Linked DNA regions of Astyanax mexicanus. The protein of the gene in region 1 binds, or shares a complex with, the protein of each later gene. Links are inferred from orthologs where the notes say so. Each region holds a gene or a part of one and is shown on either strand. Other genes may lie near its edges. The genes, in order: fzd4 and norrin.

What was found.
Region 2: the proteins of fzd4 (region 1) and norrin are in contact, whole or in part, in a crystal structure (PDB 5BQE), measured with the Homo sapiens proteins. The link is inferred for Astyanax mexicanus from reciprocal best matches to the Homo sapiens genes FZD4 and NDP. Residues at the interface, in NP_036325.2 of Homo sapiens: Ser51, Met52, Gln54, Asn55, Leu56, Gly57, Gln95, Phe96, Met105, Thr107, Lys109, Ile114, Asn152, His154, Met157, Cys158, Met159, Glu160, Gly161, Pro162; in NP_000257.1 of Homo sapiens: Asp33, Ser34, Pro36, Arg38, Met40, Arg41, His42, His43, Tyr44, Val45, Asp46, Lys58, Met59, Val60, Leu61, Lys102, Lys104, Leu106, Tyr122, Leu124, Ser125.

What each region holds. Positions count from the first base shown.
Region 1 is NC_064425.1:12,078,322-12,088,389, reverse strand, and holds the start of fzd4 (frizzled-4), read left to right. Parts: upstream 1-5,956; 5' UTR 5,957-6,148; coding exon 6,149-6,394; intron 6,395-10,068. UniProt on the Homo sapiens protein: Receptor for Wnt proteins.
Region 2 is NC_064418.1:5,507,045-5,516,895, reverse strand, and holds the start of norrin, read right to left. Parts: upstream 3,924-9,851; 5' UTR 3,678-3,923; intron 1-3,677. UniProt on the Homo sapiens protein: Activates the canonical Wnt signaling pathway through FZD4 and LRP5 coreceptor.

The DNA.
Region 1 (10,068 bases):
GTGTGTGTGTGTGTTTCTGAGCCGTTCTGGAGGTCAGGGCTGAGTGTGTGTTTTCTCTGACCGTGTCAGGCTGGTACGGATTTTACACAAAGGCAGGAAAAGCAGAAATCCTGGATAAAGCTGTGTGTGTATGTGTGTGTGTGTGTGTGGCAGGAATGGAGAGAATGTGCGGGAGGATCCCACAGGCTGGACTGTGAATGAATAAGTCATTTATATCAGCAAACTTTCCCCCAAAGATGCACGCACACACACACACACACACACACACACACACACAATAATGTATGGCCTCGTAAGACATGGACATCCTGCCGGCACAAATAAATCACGTGTATCCCCCAACACCCCCCAACCAACACACACATACACACACACACACACACACACCCTAAACTAGGGGAAAGTTACAGCCAGTGTGTGTGTATGTGTGTTTGTGAGTGAGTGTGTGTGTGTGTGTGTGTGTTTCAGTTCTGTTTGTTTTACATCACATACTTTTACAGGCTTTTAGGCCACAGTACACTCTATTGCTCTCTTTGTCTCTCTCTCTCTTTCTCTCTCACACACACACACACACACTGAGATCACATCTTACTTAAAGATATATAGATACAACTATAAAAACAACTTCAAATCAGAAATATTTGGAACAGTATGAAAAATCCTTCTCATTAAGTGTGTTTCTTTATTTTTTATTCAATTTGTTGTCTAGATTGTAGATTAATATTAAAGACATAAAAACAAAAACAGCAAGAAGTATTTGTCCTCCAAAATCCCTTGATATAAACTGAGATAGTGATTTGAGATTTGGAATGAGCTACTAAGATACTAAGACAACTATTCCAGGTGACTCTACCTAATGAAGACACTGAGGTTAAAATACCAAGAGTGTTCAGATCTGTCCTCAAAGATAATTGTTCTACTTAGAAGAATCTAAATTATAAAACATATTGTTTAAAACAATATTCTGTTTAACACATTTTGTTTACAGAATAATTCTGCATGAGTTTCTGTATAGATTTAATATAGTCTTCATTATTAAATTTACAATGTTAAAAATATAAAAAGACAGAAAACACATTAAATGAGAAGAGATGTGTCCTTTTAAGCATCTCATACTTGCACTTTAGCCTAAAATGCTTTCGAGGACACTGATGTTTACCCAAACAAATCTGATATGCACAGACAAAAACTTCCTTTAGCCATGCAAAGGCTTCCTGGCTTCATTGTACTCTACAGACTCCACACAAAAACAACACAACCGTGTTTAATTATAGATGGTTACACTGTATCTACAAGTGCTTAATCAAAAGGTCAGTGGATTTGTCTTAGGGAGATTCAGAAGGTTTTAATATCTGTTTGAGAATGCTTTAAAGTCTGTGGATATGTCTCAAAGTATCTCAGAAAATCTTTGGATCTGTGTCAGGAAATCTGTGGATCTGTCACAGGAAGTCTTTGGAACTGTCTTAGGTGTCTCAGAGGTACTGTAAATCTTGAGAATCTCAGTTCTTTAGACCTGTCTCAGAGGATCTCAGAAGGTCTGTGGATCTGTCTGAGGTAAACTTAGAAGCTCCAAGGATCTATCTTGGGTGACAGGGGGGCTGTGAATCTGTCTCAGAGGATCTCAGAAGGGCTTTGGATCTGTCTGAAATAATCTTAGAAACTCTATGGATCTGTCTCGGGTCACAGGGGGTCTGTGAATCTGTCTCAGGGATCTATGGATCTTTTTCAGAAGATCTTACAGAGTGTTTAGGTCTGTCTCAGAAGATCTCAGAAGATCTCAAAAGACTTCAGAAGGTGTTATGAATGACGACCCACTTTGTTTCAGATGTCCACTCCTGGCTTTACTGGGCACAGTTGAGTGGGGCTGAGTGACTCAAAACACGAATGGACAGCCAAGTGTAAACACACACACACTTTTCATGCATGCATGCACTTATACATACACTGTATTAGCTACTTAGTGAGGATTCTGAGTATGTGTGTGTGTGTGTTGAAGGAGGAATTTGCACTCTTAGGCAGTTCAGTCTTGTTCTGAAGCCGTATAAACCCAGGCTTAGTGTGTTAGTCGCATGAATACACACATAAATCCACACACACATTCACACATATAGGTCTGTCACAACTACTGCAATTCACTTGATAAATTATAAAATAATTAGCTTTTCGCAGAGATGAATACCTGTGGTCTGATGCTACCACCACCATGTTTCACAAATGAGAGTGAACAGGATGAATGAATTGGTGAGAGTGAGCCAAAGTGAGTAAATTGTACAGAAAAAGAAAACCAATGTGCATAATCCAAAATAAATTGTCCAGTCTGAATAAACCAGAAGAAACCAAAGGTTGTAGATGCTCAGTGTGAATGCTGTTGAATGGAAAAAACAGAATGAACAGACTAGTGTGTTTTAGTGTAGTGTGCAATAGTTGGAATAAACCAACATTTGAACGAAGAGTGTCTCAGTGTGAATGATTCAGTATGAATGAACCGGAGAAACTGGGAGTAAATGGGAATGATGTGCTGTGTAAGAACCAATGAGAATAAACCCGTGTGAATTATCCAGTGTGCATAAGCAAGTATTTATGAACCAATATTACTAAGTGTAAATGATTAATGGCATAGAGTGCATAAACCCTTAAACCATATACAGCTACAAATAAACCAATATTACTGAATCAGTGTGAATGGTCTTTTGTGCATAAACTGGTATGAATAAAACAATATTATTAAATCAGTGTAAATAACCCATTGTTTGTAAACCATTATGAATTAATTAATGTACCTAAATCAGTATAAATGATCCAGTTTTTATAAACTGATATTAAAAAATCAGTGTGAATGGTCCAGTGTGAATGGTCCAGTGTGCATAAACCGGTATGAATTAAGCAGGATTATTGCATCCATGTAAATTAATTGGTTTGGTCAGACTGAAGACAAACATTTTGTTTTCTTGGAATAACATTAAATAAGACGAAAAACAATAATAAAATGTTTATGTGGAATCAATTTTCTTAATCTGGATCAACTCCAGGATTTCTGGAATCAGAATTAGCTTGTGTCTGACAACCATCTCGAATGTGTGTGTGTGTGTGCATGTGTGTATGTGTGTGTGTGTGTGTGTGTGCGCGCGCGCACTGTACACATGCAGCTGCTGCCCAACACTGTGTTTGATGTAAATAAACTTTGCAGTGTGTCCCCATAGCAACATGAAAGTGCTCGGCGCCGTGGCTCCTGATGAAACAGTGCATATTTACACCCTCATACACACACACTCTTCTTTCATCCTACCCATTCAAATATGCTTCGTTTTCACTTGTATTACACCACCAGCAGCTGTGCATGTTTACCACACACACATTTATATCACGCACACACATAAACACACACACAGTGGTAAGTTTCTAGTTTACGTTCAACAAACTGCATGCTGGTATTTTCTGCGTCTGTAAATCAGTGAATCCTGACTGTTACTGCAGCCAACAGGGCTATTAAATACGCATGAACTGCCTGATAGCATTAGCAACGTAGCAGTTAGCATGGCAGAGTAAAAGAACGGTTGGATCAAACCAATCAAAATAATATGGTCTAAATTAACTAATTTGTATAAATTGTGTAAATTAACTCTAAAACTAGTTTTACAAAGATTCCTAAACTCTCAAACTTTGGTCACAAGATCAAGCCATGTCTCAAGTCTTTGGTCATGAGTCCAAGTCTAGTCCTAAGTCTTTTTGAGGTGAGACTTAGTCAAGTCTCAAGTCTTTGATCACAAGTCCAAGCCAAGTCTCAAACCCATGAGAATTAACTAGTTTAAAGAGGCTAGGGTCAATAAACGGTATTGGTTAACTAGCTTGGATTAACAAGTGTAAATAAACTCGTTTAAATAAATCTGTATGAATAAACAAGTGTGAATAAATGTGTCAACAAAAAAAATATGAATAAGGCAGTATGTACATTGCAAAAAATCAATCATCAAAAGCTAGACAAAATATATGTGAACTGAGACATATATGTTTATATCAAGCAAAACTGCTTGTGGTAGGCAATCTGCCAATGAGGTAGGAAAATATTTCTTAGTAAGATTTCTTAAAATAATCAATTGAAACATCTCAAAATTAGTGTCAAGAGAGTAAAAATATAATTTTTGGGTTCTATCTGAACAAAAGAAACTCTGTGTTTTGTGTTCAAATTACTTAAAATAGGTTCACAATTCTAAATAAGAAAGTATCCATACAATAAGCAAAACTATCTTACATAATGCTTAGTAAGGAAAAAAAATATATCAGAAAAAAACATCAGATTTATTGACTTTGAATTTGATCATTTCAATTAAAATGAGTTTTTTTGCATGTGGTTTAGTTTTAATTTTTTCATAGATAAACTTGGTCTTCTTCAAGAAACTCACTTTGATTTAGATAGGAATTGAAAAAAGCCTATCTCCCAACCACCCTTGCAAACATGAAGGTGGTAGTGCTATTGTATGAGATCTCTTTGTGCAGATTATGGGGAATAGCTGGGACTGACTTTGGGACAGAATGACCTTAAAAAGTGGCACAGTGAGAACTCAAATTATAATTATAATCCATATTTCTTTTTATTCTTAGTTTTTTTTTTAACACGCCTGCTGCAGCACAACTGAGTTTTACCACAGACTAAACCATGGGGACACTAAAAGCCCACTGATGCGGATACTGACCTCCAACCCCACCTCCACACACACACACACACACAAACACAGGGTGGACTGTGTCCCTCCTCTGGCCGGGTTAGAAAGGTCAGAGGTCAGTGTGAGTGTTATCTGTGAGGATCTGACCAGCCCTCAGGCTCCTGACAGAAACAGTAAACAAAAACAAGAGTTTACATTCCAGAACAGGCTCCGCCCCACACACCCCGGATTTCTCTCTGTATATTTAGATCTATCGATTTTTCTCTCAGTTTTTCCATACATCCTCAACATTTCTCTCTCCTTCCCTCATTCACTCTCTCTCCTTTCATTATTCTTACACATCTCTCTTTCTGTCTCTCCTTTTACTCGACTTTAAGGCTCTCTCTCCTTTTAATCCTCTGACACATTTTTTCCTGTTTTCTTTTTATTTCTCTTTTAGTCTTCCCCTTCATCTCCTTATTTCACTCTTCTTTGCTCTCTCTTCCTTTTTCCCTCTTTCAATTTTATTTTGTTCTTTTAGTTTATGTGTCTTTCAGTCACTCTCTCATTTTTACTTATTTTTCGCTTCTCAGTCTTGTAATTCCTCTTTCACCTTTTCTATAATTAATGTCTCTCCTCTTTTATTATCTTTGTCTCTCTTTTGTTCTTGCTTTCTCACTTTTCCTTTTACTCCCTCCCTCCTTTTATCCCTCTCTTTTCCCTATTCTCTCTCCCTTTTTGGTCTCAATCTTTCAGTCCTACTTTATCCCTCTTTATCACTTTCTATCCTCTTTTACTGCTTGTCTCCCTCCTTCAGTCTGTCAGTCTCTCATTTTATACCTCCTTTTTCCACACTCAACACTTTTTTCTTTTTCAGTCTCTCTTCTACTTTGTCAGTCTCTCTTTCCTTCAGTCTTTTTATTCAAATCTCTTTTATTCTGTCTCTGTCATTTTATTCAATTTTTCTCATTCAGTCTCTCTTTCCTTCATTCTTTTTATTTGTGTCTATTTTATTCTCTCTGTTGTTTTAATCTCTATTTTTTCTGTCAGTATTTTTTATTCTGTCTCTGTCGTTTTATTAGTTTTTTTTGTCAGTCTCTTTTAATCTGTCTCTGTCGTTTTTTCCTTTTTTCTCTGCCAGTCTCTCTTTTATTCTGTCTCTGTCGTTTTAGTCGCTTTTTCTCTCTGCCTGTCTCTTTTCTTTCTGGCGCTCGCTCACTCCTTTTATTCGTCTCTCTCTCCCTCTCGCCCCGCCCCTAGCCCCGCCCAGTGCAGTTATTATCACAGTTGCTAACCCCGCCCCTGGTCAATAGCCCCGCCCCTCGCTACCCTCTGTCCAGCTCGAGCGCAGAGAGTGGGGTAGTAGAGTAAGATCAGGAGCGCGCGGGGGAGAGTAGAGCTACAGCGCGCGGGGTGTGAGCTGTGTGTGTGTTTATAGAGTGTTTAGTGTATATATAGTCTGTGTGTTTATCTGTGGATCTGCTTCCTCGTGCTGCCCGGTGATCCTCATGGCTCGCGCTGCCCCCGCGGGTCTCGCGCTGCTGCTGCTCGCGCTGGGGAGCGGGCGCGCGCGCGCCTTCGGTGTGGATGAGGACGCGCGCTGCGAGCCCATTCGCATGGCCATGTGTCTGGACCTGGGATACAATCAGACGCGCATGCCCAACCTGGTGGGGAACGTGCTGCAGGCGGACGCGGAGCTGCAGCTCCAGACCTTCACACCGCTCATACAGTACGGCTGCTCCAGCCAGCTGAAGGTACGATGACTACACACACACACACACTGGACATGGGGTTACACATTGCCCCACAAATATCCAATATTGGATAATAAATCATCTAAAGTAACGTGTTATATATATATATATATATATATATATATATATATATATATATATATATATATATATATATATATATATATATATATACACATGTCAAAGCCTATATGCAATAATATATAGTGTATTATATAGTAAGTTCATTTACCGTTATGTAATCATAACATATTTGTACATATACTAGATAATTCATTCACAAGTTTGGACAGACCTTCTCATTCAAAGTTTTATTTTTCTTATATTGTAATCCAGATTATAAAGGAACACATAAAGAATCATGCAGTAACTTCAAACTGTTAAACAAACCAAAATACTCTGTGAAGCATTCAGGTGCTCTTATCTGGAGTACTGTTAACTTGCGGTTTCTGAGTCTAAAAACTCTGATGGCCTTTTCTTGTGAAGGAGTATTGTGGAGGTCCTGATGAGAGCCAGTTTCATCATAACGTTTTTGATTGTCTTTGCAAATGCACTTTAAGATACTTTCAGAGTTCTTTTTAAGGTGAAATTTAAGGTGACTACCTCATAAAGTTGACTGGTAAAATGCAGAGATGTCCAAAGCTATCATCTTAGCAAGTACTTTGAAGAATGTTAAAATAATACATTTTCTGGTTTATTTAACACTTTTTTGTTTACTAAATAATAACATCTTTCATAGTTTGGATTAATTTAGTATTAATCTACAATACAGAAAAATAATGAACCACTGAATTTAAGGTGGAAAAAAGGTGTGTCCAAACTTTTGTCTTGTACTGTATATAATGTATATATGTAAGTACCTATATGTACTAATAATATACCCATTTATAAAAAAAATAAGTAATTAAGTGTTTACAAAAATATATTATTTTAATAATATGTAAGTCAGAAACAATATTTAACAATAATATTTTCTATATTTATTATATATGTTAATATCTAATTATGTAAGTAAGTAACTATTTCTAGTGTGTGTTTATTAGTGTGTGTGTTTACTTAGGGTGTTTATCTCTGTTTTGACTTCAGTGTGTCTGCAGCTTGCACGAGTTTGGTGTAGGTGTGTGTGTGTATATGTGTCTGTGTGTTTGGATTATAGTTTCCCTCAGCGGTTAGGAATGACCACAGTGAAAATCCGACATTTCCTCTAGTCAGTACACTCCCCTGAACACACACACACTCTGCATTTCACTCGCAAAACTGTTTAATCAAATTTACTGTAGTTTAGAATAACTCTATAAGTGTAGTGTATTTATTGACCATGTTTATTGTTAATACTTTCTGTGGCTGATACTCTTTCAGTTCCTGTTGTTGGAGATTTCTCCAACCTCTAGGCCTCTAGTTCTAGTTTCCGAACACTTCAGCAACTGAATCCCCATTACTTGTGCAATATTGCCAAATCAACAACCAACCACAAAGTATGATACATCCACCCCCATGCTTCACAGTTGGCAAGTTATTAATTTTTTCTTTAAAATGTACCTATGCTGATTGTGGCAAAATAGTTCTGACTTCACCGGTCTACAGCATTTGTTTTACAAAGTGCATCTGGCATTCATTTGCTTATCTTGTTCTAAGACCTTGACAAAAAACAAATCCTAGGTTGCCCAAGCTTTTGTACAGGCCACACTGCTGATTTTTTAAAATAGTTTTGTCTGTGCATTAGAATCTGATATAATTATGCTGTTGATGGTTTAGCTATAGAAGCTTGATTTATTATATTTCAAAGCCATTCATTAATGGCATACAGATATTTGTTTAAGTGAAGTGAAGTCAGTCATATTATTTTATCAAATTAAAATCAAATCATATTTATTAATGATGTTGTACTGTTTGACTGGACACTAATATTAATTTGTGTAAGGTGTGTATATCAATTAAAAGTATATACAGTTGGTGTATACAGTGTTTACATTGCTGTTGTATACAGAGTGTGTGATGTGTGTATAGAGTGTACAGAGTATATACAGTCTCACAAAAGTGAGTACACCTCTCATGTAAATGTACTGTCCCCTTTAAAATAACTCAACACACAGCCATTTATGTGAAAATAAAAGTGAAAATGGCAGAAATGGCGCCCAAAGCCTTTTTGGGCATGGATTCCATCAGAGCTTCACGGGTTTCCTCTGGAATCTTTTCCTCACCTCCTTGATGACATCAAGGATCTGGTGGATGTTAGAGACCTTGCACTTCTACAGCCTTTTGCTTGAGGTTGCCCCACAGGTGCTCAGTTGGGTTTATGTCTGGAGACATACATACATACTAGTCCATCACCTTTACTTTTAGCTTCCTGTGCAAGGCAGTTGTCATCTTGGAGGTATGTTTGGAGTCATTATCACGTTACCAGTTACTGAAGGTAGGAACAGTATATGTTGGAATTTAGATCCCCAGCACTGGAAGTACTCAAGCTGCCCCAGACCATGATGCTACCACCACCATGCTTGACTGTGAGCAAGGCACAGTGCTTGGTACTCCTCTCCAGGATACTGCCACATATGCTGGACACTATCTGAGCCAAACAAATTAATATTGATCTCATTAGATCACAAGACACATTCCAGTATCCATGCTCTTGAACTACTTGTCTTCAGCAAACTGTTTCAGGCTTTTTTGTGCATCAGCTTTAGAAGAGGCTACCTTCTAGGACATTGCCATGTAAACAGAGTTGATGCAGTTTGTGGTGTATGGTCTGCGGGCTGACCTCCCACTTCTTCAAGCTCTGCAGCAATACTGGCAGCACTTATACATCAATTTTCAAACAGCCAATGGATATTATTATTAACACGTGAAAACAGCTTATTTGGTTGAACTTGGGGAGGCCTGTTCTGAGTGGAAAACTGCTGTATAACCCTGGCCATTGTGCTGTATCTCAGAAAGTGCCATGTTAAATATCCAGTGGCCAGTGTGAGATAATTGAACCCAAAAAAATAACCTTGTAAACTAATGAGTCACATGACACTGGGGAAGGAAAATAGCTCATTTGGCACAATTTGAACATGTTTACTTAGGGGTGTGCTCACTTGTGTTGCCAGCAGTTTATACATTAATGGCTGTGTGTTGAATTATTTTGAGGGCACAGTAAATTTACACTGTTATCCTGTAGCTGTACACAGACTACTTTACATCAAAGAGTTAGCAAACATCTAAAGATCTATAGTGTTGCCCACTAAATATTTACAAATATGGGGTGTACAGATTTTTTTTGAGATGCTGTACCGATACTTTGTGTATACAAAGTGTGCAATATCTGTAAACTGTGTGTATACAGTGGCTGCATAAAGTAAATGCATATTTGTGTGTTTACAGTGTGTGTATACAGTAAGTGTATTCACGATGAATGCATACAGTATGCGTATAACTTGAGAATATACAGTAATCACACAGATTTTAGATATGACTATATATCAGGAAATAAAGGCTTTAGTGTTAAAAACAGTCAAAAACGTTTTGAATCTCGCTGATGTAACACAGAGCAGCAGGGAGGGTCTACTGTGCAGAATGCTGTATTTTTATCTCTTTATTAAATTATATAATAACACAGAAATTTACAGAACAATGCTGTGATTTACTTGTGTTCACTGTTACTCAAGCAAACATGGAGTCAACTGTTACTAATA
Region 2 (9,851 bases), on another chromosome or scaffold:
CATTTGTTTAATATCAACATATCAGGCATACCGGGCATGATAACGGTTATCATCACCATCATCATCACGCCCAGACATGACTGTTGACATTCAGAAGTGCGAGAAAAGGGCTGCTTTGTTCAAGGCCTGATTCACGGTCATAATAACCAGGCTGAACAATGTAGCGAGAGACATCCCTGTTTACAAGGTGACTACAGATTCCAATAGAGTTCGTAAAAACAAGAGAATGACCTCATGGTACAGTCATGCACAGCCGCCTGATCAGCTAAGTCTGGGGGCTTCCAGCGTTGGGGAGTTGAGTTGGAGTTGGGGTGGGGGGTTATGATGTGCAATTGTGGATGCTCCACCCCAACCCCTCACTCACCCCTGCAGGGAACTGCCCTGGGGCAGGGAGGCAGTTAGGTTAGGTAGGGCACCGCTGCAGCCTCAACACCTGCTGAGATTCACAGATTTATAGAGCCCAGTGTGTCCACAAACAGCAGCTGGAACTTCCGATCCCCCCCATCTGACACAACAACAGCAGCACAGCAGCACAGCAGCATGCCTCCACCCTGTCCACCTCCACCCTTTCTCTCTCCAATACAGCTACACATATCCCACTCTGGACTTGCAAACTCATATTTTTGTTTTGCTTTGTTTTGTTTTACGAGCTCCTAAATTACCCTTGAAGGGTTTGAGCCGTAACGGTTGCTGAACTTGTTGTCCGGTTTCACTTTGGCAAACATGGCCGCTTCGTTCATAATAATGTACTCAAATGTTTCCTTTAATTAGACGTCTCATTAGAACTACAGCCAGAGCCTTCTGGATTTAAAAAATGCTTCTTTATCTCAATCAATGAACAAACAATTCAAATCCTTTTTTTCACATTTGATCACGGTAATGGCTTTGCTGGCAGTACATTTGGCTGTAAAAACTGATTAATTAGACATACATTTTTAAATTAATCTTCAATTTAAATAATACAATAGGATCCTTTATATTTTCATTGCTCCTTTTTTTAAACAAGTACCTAGTCAAGAGTCTCATTATGAAACATGTGCTAAGCTAACCGTTCCAAGGGACGAAAAAGCAATAAACATTTAAAACTAAGGGCAGGAGCCAAGGGTGAGTGAGACACTCCAGAAGTGTTGGTGTGCGTGGTGCTTCCAGGCAAAGCCCAGTCACCCAGAGTCCTGCCGTGATCCCAGAGGATCCAGACCAGGCATGATGCCAGTGTGTGGACCCCCAGACTGGACTGTCACCAGGCATGGCCCTGTGAAAACATGGCATAGCTCTTTTTGATTAATCTGGTTCAGGTCTGGTAAAGGGGCCTGGACGTCTGCAGCATTGGAACTGCGAAATTCCTGACATTCAATCACAGCCACAGGTTGGGAGCAATTCAGTGTAACTTTTCGGCCTCAATCTGACCATTAAAAACCGCAGAGCCTATTTCATTCTGGGAACAAAAAAAAGGGCTTTCTGACCATAGCCAAGTCTGGACATCATCACGTGTGATACGGTGGTTTTTCCTCCACCCGAGCTCACACACACATGCTTCTGAGGAACTCAAGGGACCTCAGGTAGTCTCTTGATATTGGAGCATGTCATCCTGTCTCTGGCTCTCATCGCTGCTCTCCTCCTTGCATAAGCTAAAGCACAGACTGTCATTTTGAGAAGGATTTTCAGACTGAAATGTGCCTCGAGCTATAAGAGAGAGAGGTCGGATAAGGTAGAAAGAAGAAGAGGGAGACCGTGGAATCCAAGTTATTAGCTATGGTTGCCTCAGCATTGCCGTTTTCAAGTAATTTATTTCGGTTGGGAGCAGATTTTCCAGGTAATCCAGGACAAAGTCTCAGAGTTGCCTCCAGATGTACCTTGGTGGGTTTAATCATTCTAGAAATTCTAGAGAACTCTTCATTCTTCTTTTCTTCAGGCCGGTAACTGTTCTGGTGAATGCTGATTACAGACTGGAATAGCGTTGGATGAAGCTGCCGACTCTGTTCAGCACTGTTCAGGAATGCTTTTGATGCTCTCCAGTGCTAATGTTACACTTTTGTTTGATTACTCTGGCTGTAATTCTGTCAATTCTTTTGAACGTAAATGAAGCAGCCCTTCAGTTGCTGTGCGGGTTGGTCCTGTCTTGTGTCCAGTGTGTCTCCTGTCCGTCAGCCTGTCATGCCTCCTCTTATGTTCGCGCCTTACGTCAATGTTTGGTGCTCACTTAGTGCCCCATTGTTTCACCAGCTTTTAATAAACCAAAGGGCAGATTCCTACAGGGGCCAAATAGCCCCCCTCCACGCTCTCCTCCTGGACCCCGTCTGCACCCAAGCAGCATGCCAGCCCTGAGCAGGGGCATTGCCACCACGCTTTGATGCCACCAGCCCGCGCCTCCCTTACTCCAATGGCTAAGCCATGCACTAAATATATCCCGCGTGATAAAGATAAGACAAACAGTGTGGATTTGAGCGTGGCCCACGACCAATGGCAGCGGACCCTGAGAGCCCATGCTAAGCTAATGTTAGCGTTACAATTTAGGCTTCTTAGAACAGATCACATTCTAAGAAGACAATAAAAGTATAAAGGGGCCTGGGAATGCTGCAGCAGTTGAGTCCCAAAACACGTGTTCGGCAATTAGGGGAACTTATTAGGATGTCCTCTTAAACCTCCTCCCCATGCTGTGTTTTGTTCTGAGCTGAGCTGACTCACTCTCTGAGTATTCCCTTTATATCTGGATACTTTTCTGCGTTTTTTAGAAGGTTAATTTACGTGTTTTTTTTAAGATACATTCACAAGAAAGCGATTATGTGAAACCTAACCCCACCAGAAAGCACCAGGCGGAAGGTATTGTCTTAAAGTGTTCAAATGTACGAGGGGAAGCTCCCCACATGCACCTCCACCTCATTCTCCAACAAGTCCATAATAAATAAACAATCCCAGGACTCGGGATTTGATGCTGTGGTGTGATCCAATGACTGCAGCAGCGGGTTCAGTATGGAATTAAGCCATGAATGCTCAGTCAGTGAATGCACTGTCTACGGCGGCTCGTCTCGGCAGGCGACCCACCACAGAAGACACTGCGCCTCTCATCAGGCGCGCATACCATGAACCTGCCCTAGGCTCAGTGCCTTTAACCAGATTCTAATGACTTGCAGTGCGTAAAATTGTCAAGTCAAAGCCTGACCAAGGTGCTGATAGGTGTTGAGCAATGGTGCGTTATCAAAACCACCAAGAATACCAAGAATAACAGAGCGTTTCTTTTCCTCTGTTGACAGAATACAGAACGGATAATGTGAGTGGATTACCTGATTTAATATAAAAGTAATAAATTATAATACATCAACCACAGTTTTACAGCCAAATGTTACAGCCAAAACCAAATATATGATATGTTTCATTCATCATTTACCTGGAATCAAGAACATTCATTGTGTCCCTGCTTTTTACACAGAACAAGCATAGACCTTCTGAGGCAGGACTGCAATAACAATGCACAACGTACAACTTTTCAGGTAATTAGAACAACATGTTACGCAACACATCCGTCTGCTATTTGCTGTCCCATCACACCAGTCCATTCCTAGGATCTAGACTATGTTACAAAACCTAAAGAACGACAGTTTAAACATCACAGTGAAACAACCTGGTAGCTCATTTGACACCCTGTGTCACCTTTAGATCCACACAGTAAGCTCACCTACCTTTTCTCCAGCTCCTTCCAGCTCTCAATATAATATCCAGCCCCGGCTGCACCTCACTGGACTGAAGCAGCACTGAAATTGCTTTTAAACCCCCTTTTCTATCCCTCACTCTCTCCCTCTCCTTTCTCTCCCTCTCCTTTCCTCCCTCGTTCCCTCTTCACTCTCTCTATTTCACTCTCCCTCTCACGCACACTGATTGTGTGAGCTCTGACTCCCTTTCTCCCTCTCTCTCTTTCTCCCTCTCTCTCTGTCTCTTTCTTTCCCTGCTCCCCCTCCCCTCCTCCTCTGCTGTGCTGACATTCACACCCCTCGTTTTTTTTTTTCTTTTCTGTATAGAGGAATCAGAGGGAAAAGGGAAAGGACAGATGATGCACGTCTCAGGATGGTTGTCAGATGTGGAACGTGACACAGCAGTCATATATCACCTCAAGAACCCACACACAACACACACACTCTATCTTACTCTCTCTCTCTCTCTCACACACACACACACACACACACCCTCCAGCTGACACACCAACACGCTCTCGCAAAGCAAATGGGGATTCCAGCTTCGGAATGGTTGTAGAATCAGAGAGCACAGCAAAAGCCCGGCCCTCTTTTACGAGCTATGGGTTATAAAACTGTTAGCAGAATTAGTTTATTTAAAAACAACTGGTCCCCCAGCTTTATAACTGCAGCACCTGCGGTCCCCCAGCTTACAGTAGGGTCACCGAGGGGTTTTAGGAGGTGCGTGTCAATTTAACACAGCCCACGTCAGAGGAGAGGGAAAACTTCAGCTTCTCAGCGTAACAGAAAAAAAACAACAAGTGGGGCATCGAGTGTATTTAATTAGCAGCAGGATTTAAAGTACACTGAAGGTCTACTGCCTCGGGCATAACAACAAATTGCTGTGTTGGCTCGCTTTTTAATAGCGTAACAAACCCTTTTTTAAAGTAAGGCCAAAAGTGAATGAGTCAATTGATCATGACCAAGTGTTTTATATCAGGGAGAGAAAAAAATTAAACCAGCCACACTAAGTAACTAAAAGTATAAGTTGTCAGGTGATATCTTGTGAGTGAGGTTGAACACTGGCAGTCCAACACTGAGTTGGACTGAGAATTAAACTTCACTTTTAGTTATAATGTCTAAACTGTAAGGTAATTAAATTGTAAATTGTAATTTCAATTGCTTTGCAACTTGAAGTTCATTATCAGGTAACAAAATAGATTTATATGTGTCTACTTCTCACATTTATTTAAAGCTCCACCAGGTAGGATTGAGATTTTGTGCTCGTGGGCTCCCCTTACAGTTGCAGAGTGTAATAAATGTTTCAGGCGGATTACACAGACATATTCGGTCCCTTTTCACCTTCTGCCAGAGTTTCTGTATGTTAGTTTGTAAAGAATGAACCAGTAGTCTTTGTAGAACTGTTAGAACTAAAGGTCGGAAAGCAGGTCGCAGTTCTCATTAGCGTTGGTGGCTGCCGCCTTGGAAGACTTACAGAGTCTGGTTTGAGCTCAGAGGAGTACTGCTATTCGTCCTATTACACCTCAATGCAGCGCTGCAGTGAGTTTCAAGCTGTAATTTTATTTCTTTAAAAAAATTAAAAATCAAGGAAGTTCTACCTAGTGGGGCTTTAAGTAAAATATAGATGCTGTATTTACTTAGATTAAGAAAGAAAGAAAGAAAGAAAGAAAGAAAGAAAGAAAGAGAAAGAACATTCTTTAGAGTGAACAGTAGAGTTAGTACAGCAGCTTATAAAATGATGCTTGCTCTTACAGCCTACAACATAAAGGCCAGGCACTTATTCACAATATGTGATCTACAATTTAATCTACACCCTGATCATTAGGGTAAGAAACTGGGGGACTTTTTTGTGCCAAAAGCCTATACAAAAACAAAAGTGGCCAATGGAAAATAATAATCTAATAAGTTATTATAAATTGATTCAACTCAAAGATCTATGTTTGAATGTACAGTATATGTGGCCACAAATGTTGTTGACAATATTCAATTTATATAAAACAGACTTAATTGGGTTTAGAGTGTAATAGGCCTTTCCTTTTCAAAGTTGTCCTTGATCCACAGTGTTAAAGAAGGCAATGATGGTGACTGGTGGCATCTGGATAGAACTGTCCATGTGTACAACATAGGACAAGTGACACAGATCATTGCGTTATGTTTATGTTTAGCTTAAATGAGATGTTGGACATGATACTAGTCTCATGTTAAATTACATTTGGCATCTCATAGTGCAGTTCTATAGAGCACATACAGATTACAGCATATAAACTCAAAAGTATGAACGTATAAGGACTACACATCGCTGAGGGTCTTAAAGAACCCTAAAACTGTGGGGGTTCTTTACATTGAAGAAAATATCATCCAAAGAACTTGTTGGCACCTTAATTGTACCTTTTGTTGAAACAACCTGAATCCCTTTTGTTAAAATTGCAACATAATGTCTATAACCACAGAAGACATTAACACCACCCACTAAGTATTATAAAAAAAAATTAGATTTTTGTATAACCAGTAATTATTTGTGGAATGTGTTCACTTGAATGACAAAAAAGACAACCTTACTGTATAATTAAGATTTCACAAAGAAGACATAATTGCTGTTTTACATCTCAGACAGAGACAGAGAATTTTTGGTGGGATTTTTGTTTTCCATGTTTTTCAGGCAAATACCTCCAACAATTCAAAATGTCAGTCGTGGTGGGGAAAGGGGGGGGGGGCATATTAAATTACCGCAAATATTGGCACGGGGGGAGTGTGTAATCTTCAGATTGAGGTGTGGACTCAATCCAAGAGTGAACTGAAACCCTGTAAGACAGAAATATCTGATAATCAGATTCTTCCCACTTCAGAGGTCTGCTTTTTCAGACATTCTTTCAGCAGTTTTCATTCAGCTTTGTAAAGGGAAAAAACTAGACTATGAAAGGCTGACTATTCCACGCTGGAGCCCCCCAAAAAAAAGGTTTAAATATAGACTTGTTAAGGATATGTGAGGATAATGTTCTGCAAGGCAAAAATGCTGTGTAGTCCGGGCTTAAATCAATCAATGATTGTTCAAAAACTGGTTCAGAAAAATTTGAAACCTCAGGGGAAATTACAGGCGAGCTGCTCTGGGTAAGTAGGGCTTAAAGGGTCAAAAGTATATGAAACACAATTACCTGCAAGGGCTTCTTTGGACCTCACACTGAAAACTCACTCTCGCTTTTTAAAGATCCACTAGCAGCACTCTTCATTCAGAGTATACGATTACATGATTGATGCTTTTCTATCCACTGAGGCTGATTTATAAAGAACTCTGCTAGATTCACAGTACTGTTACATCACAGAGACAGGATTTCACATTCATAATCAATGTTAATGTGACTATTTATTTTGCCTAAATTTATGTTTTTTTGCACAATAACTCTACTTTGTTAAGTTTATTGTCAGGTAATAAAATCTATTTGCATTTAGTCTACCTTTTAATTTCATTAAAAAAATAATGAAAAGTAAAATTAAAGACAAATATAGATACTTTTTTTGCTTAAATTGAATATTCATAGAAAGACAAAGAATAAAACCTTAGTTTTGACCAACTTATGCTTGGGCTTTTTCATACAATGATTTTGACTAACAGTTTACTGAGCCATGGTAAAAAGTCAATGGCCAACAATAATTCAAATACCATATACCAAATACCACATTTCACACACTGTAGCACCAAAGCGTTTTATAAACCTGGCCCCCTGTGTCTCTTTAGTATTTCATGAGATTGAGTCATTAAATGGGTAATATATTCACAAAACCTATGACACCGTCTACTTTCATGGAGAGAGGGGCTGAAATAATATTTCAGCAGCTACTCACTCAGTCACTCAGCAGAACTGTAAAATGGTTTTTGCAGAGGTTTCCTCACAAAGTTGTCTTTCTCAAGTGGAGTCCTCTCAGGTTCGCCTCTTTTTTATCCTGTAGAAACATGTAGGTGTGAGCGTCTGGAGATTTTGGGCTGAGCTGCACCGTATACCACAACTTTCTCATGAACATAAATATTAAAATCTCACCTTTTTACATCCAACTCACCACGATCTGGAGCTGTAGAAGTCCATATTGATTTCAGCAGGTTGTCCAATCTGTGGTTTCAGGTGAATTTAGAGACTCCAGAATATACAGAACATTGCACTGCATCCAGAACCTTATTACAAATGCTAAGAGGATATTAATATAACAATTTAATAAAGTGAAAGGGAGTAAGAAAGAATATACTAAAAGAAGAAAAATCTAGAGAGTGTAGTTCTTGCTAAAATGCTGGAATGCAAATATGCTTAAATGGCTAATAGAACTGTGCTAGAACTGCGTCCAAATACTTTTGGCCAAATGTTTGAGGCACAAACATTTGTTTAATTGGTAAAATGCAAGTACATCAGTCTAATAGAGCTGTGCCTACAAGCCTTTGGTGAAAAACATTTGGCTAAATGGTAGAATGCAAAATGTATTTAGCTAACAGAGCTCTGTCCGCAAACTTTTGCCTAAAAGATGGAGAGAAAACCGCTGTGTGGAAAATCAAAACCTTTCTCCCCCCACTGTAAATCACATGGATTTATAAAGCATAAATCATATAACTATGCTCTTAGGTCTATAAATGCACCAAATTTCTTTAAAAATTATGACCCCTAGAGGAGTTAAAATATTTTCTTAAAAGTAAGTAACCACAATAGGTTAGTTTGGATGCTTAATGTTTAAATATTATTAATTTTATCTGAAAGCTGTATACAAGAACACTGATTTCCAATCAGCATTGATCTTCTAAGTGTTTTTTAGTCCTGTATAAAATTGCAAAGCATTTGTAATTGTATTTCCATTGAAATATACAAGCAAACTTTGTCCGACGATCTCAAGTTTATAGAATATCATGTGGTGCGACCATCAAGAAACTACTACTTTGGGACATTTATCTTGAAACCAATTTAAAGACAGGAAGTTGCATCTTTTTTTTGGTTGCAGCAAGTAATATTTAGTAACAAGCTTGAATATTTGGTTAAAAGATAGATCTTTTTTGAGGCAAAACAACAAAACATTTTCAAGTTGTTATAAAAACTTTATTGTAAGAGTTTGTTGTTTTTTTTATTATATGCCATGTATTAGCACTTACAGAAATTAATACTACAATAAATAAAATATTTGACAGGTAAGCATTACTAAAGAATTTCAAAATGACTACTACTACTATTAAGTAAATAATAAAAGCCATGGGAGAATGTGGCGCTACATTTTACATGTAGTAAAATCTACAAGATACACTGGGTAAAATATAATTGAATAATGCATGAAAGTAACAATTTACTGAAAATTTATTGTAGTTAAGTACACTGAGAATTATTGGTACTACTTTAAAATAAGACTACCCTTATAAAGGGTTTATAAATGGTTTATACATAAGTTTATTAAATATAATTGATTAGGTTGCCAACGCCTTAAAAATCATTAATAATCATACAAATACATAGAAAGGGCAACAATGACCTGTTGTTTGCCAAATAGTAAACCCACAGCCATCTATATTGTTGCCCTTCTTGCGTATGTGTTATAACTGATTATCAATGCTTTTTAAGGCATTTACAACCTAATTAGTAAGCATTAATGAACTCATTGTAAACCATTTATAAACCCTTTATAAAGATAGTCTTATTTTAAAGTGTTACCGAATTATTAGTAAATATTACTTGAATGTATGCTTGTTAAAGTTGCTGTTTTTTTAAGTAAATCCTACTCCACATTTTTTAGTGAACTGCAATCACATGAGCTGGAGAGTCTGCCTCAGGTTAAAGCAGGTGGAAGACCATGTCAGGCTCTAAAAGTTTTCAGTCATACATCTTTCCTCCTGAGCCCCGTCCTCTGCCTTTGATGAAAGAGTTAAACCCATCCTCACCCTGGCCGTCCATCAGGCTGAAGCCGGCTTTCATGTTCCTCTAACCCACAACAGAAGGCGGCCTTTGAGGTATCAGGCTTGCCAGCTTCCCGGGTGAAGAACAGCAACGGCAAATTGAGACTGATGGGCTGGAGACACATTGAGTCTTCATTCTGAGTGATCAGTTTCGAGTCTCGTTTCAGGCTTCATGTAGAAAAAGAAAGGTCTCATAATTTGAAGTGATTTATACGCAAACAGTGAGCGGAGTGGGAAAAAACAGCCTCAGC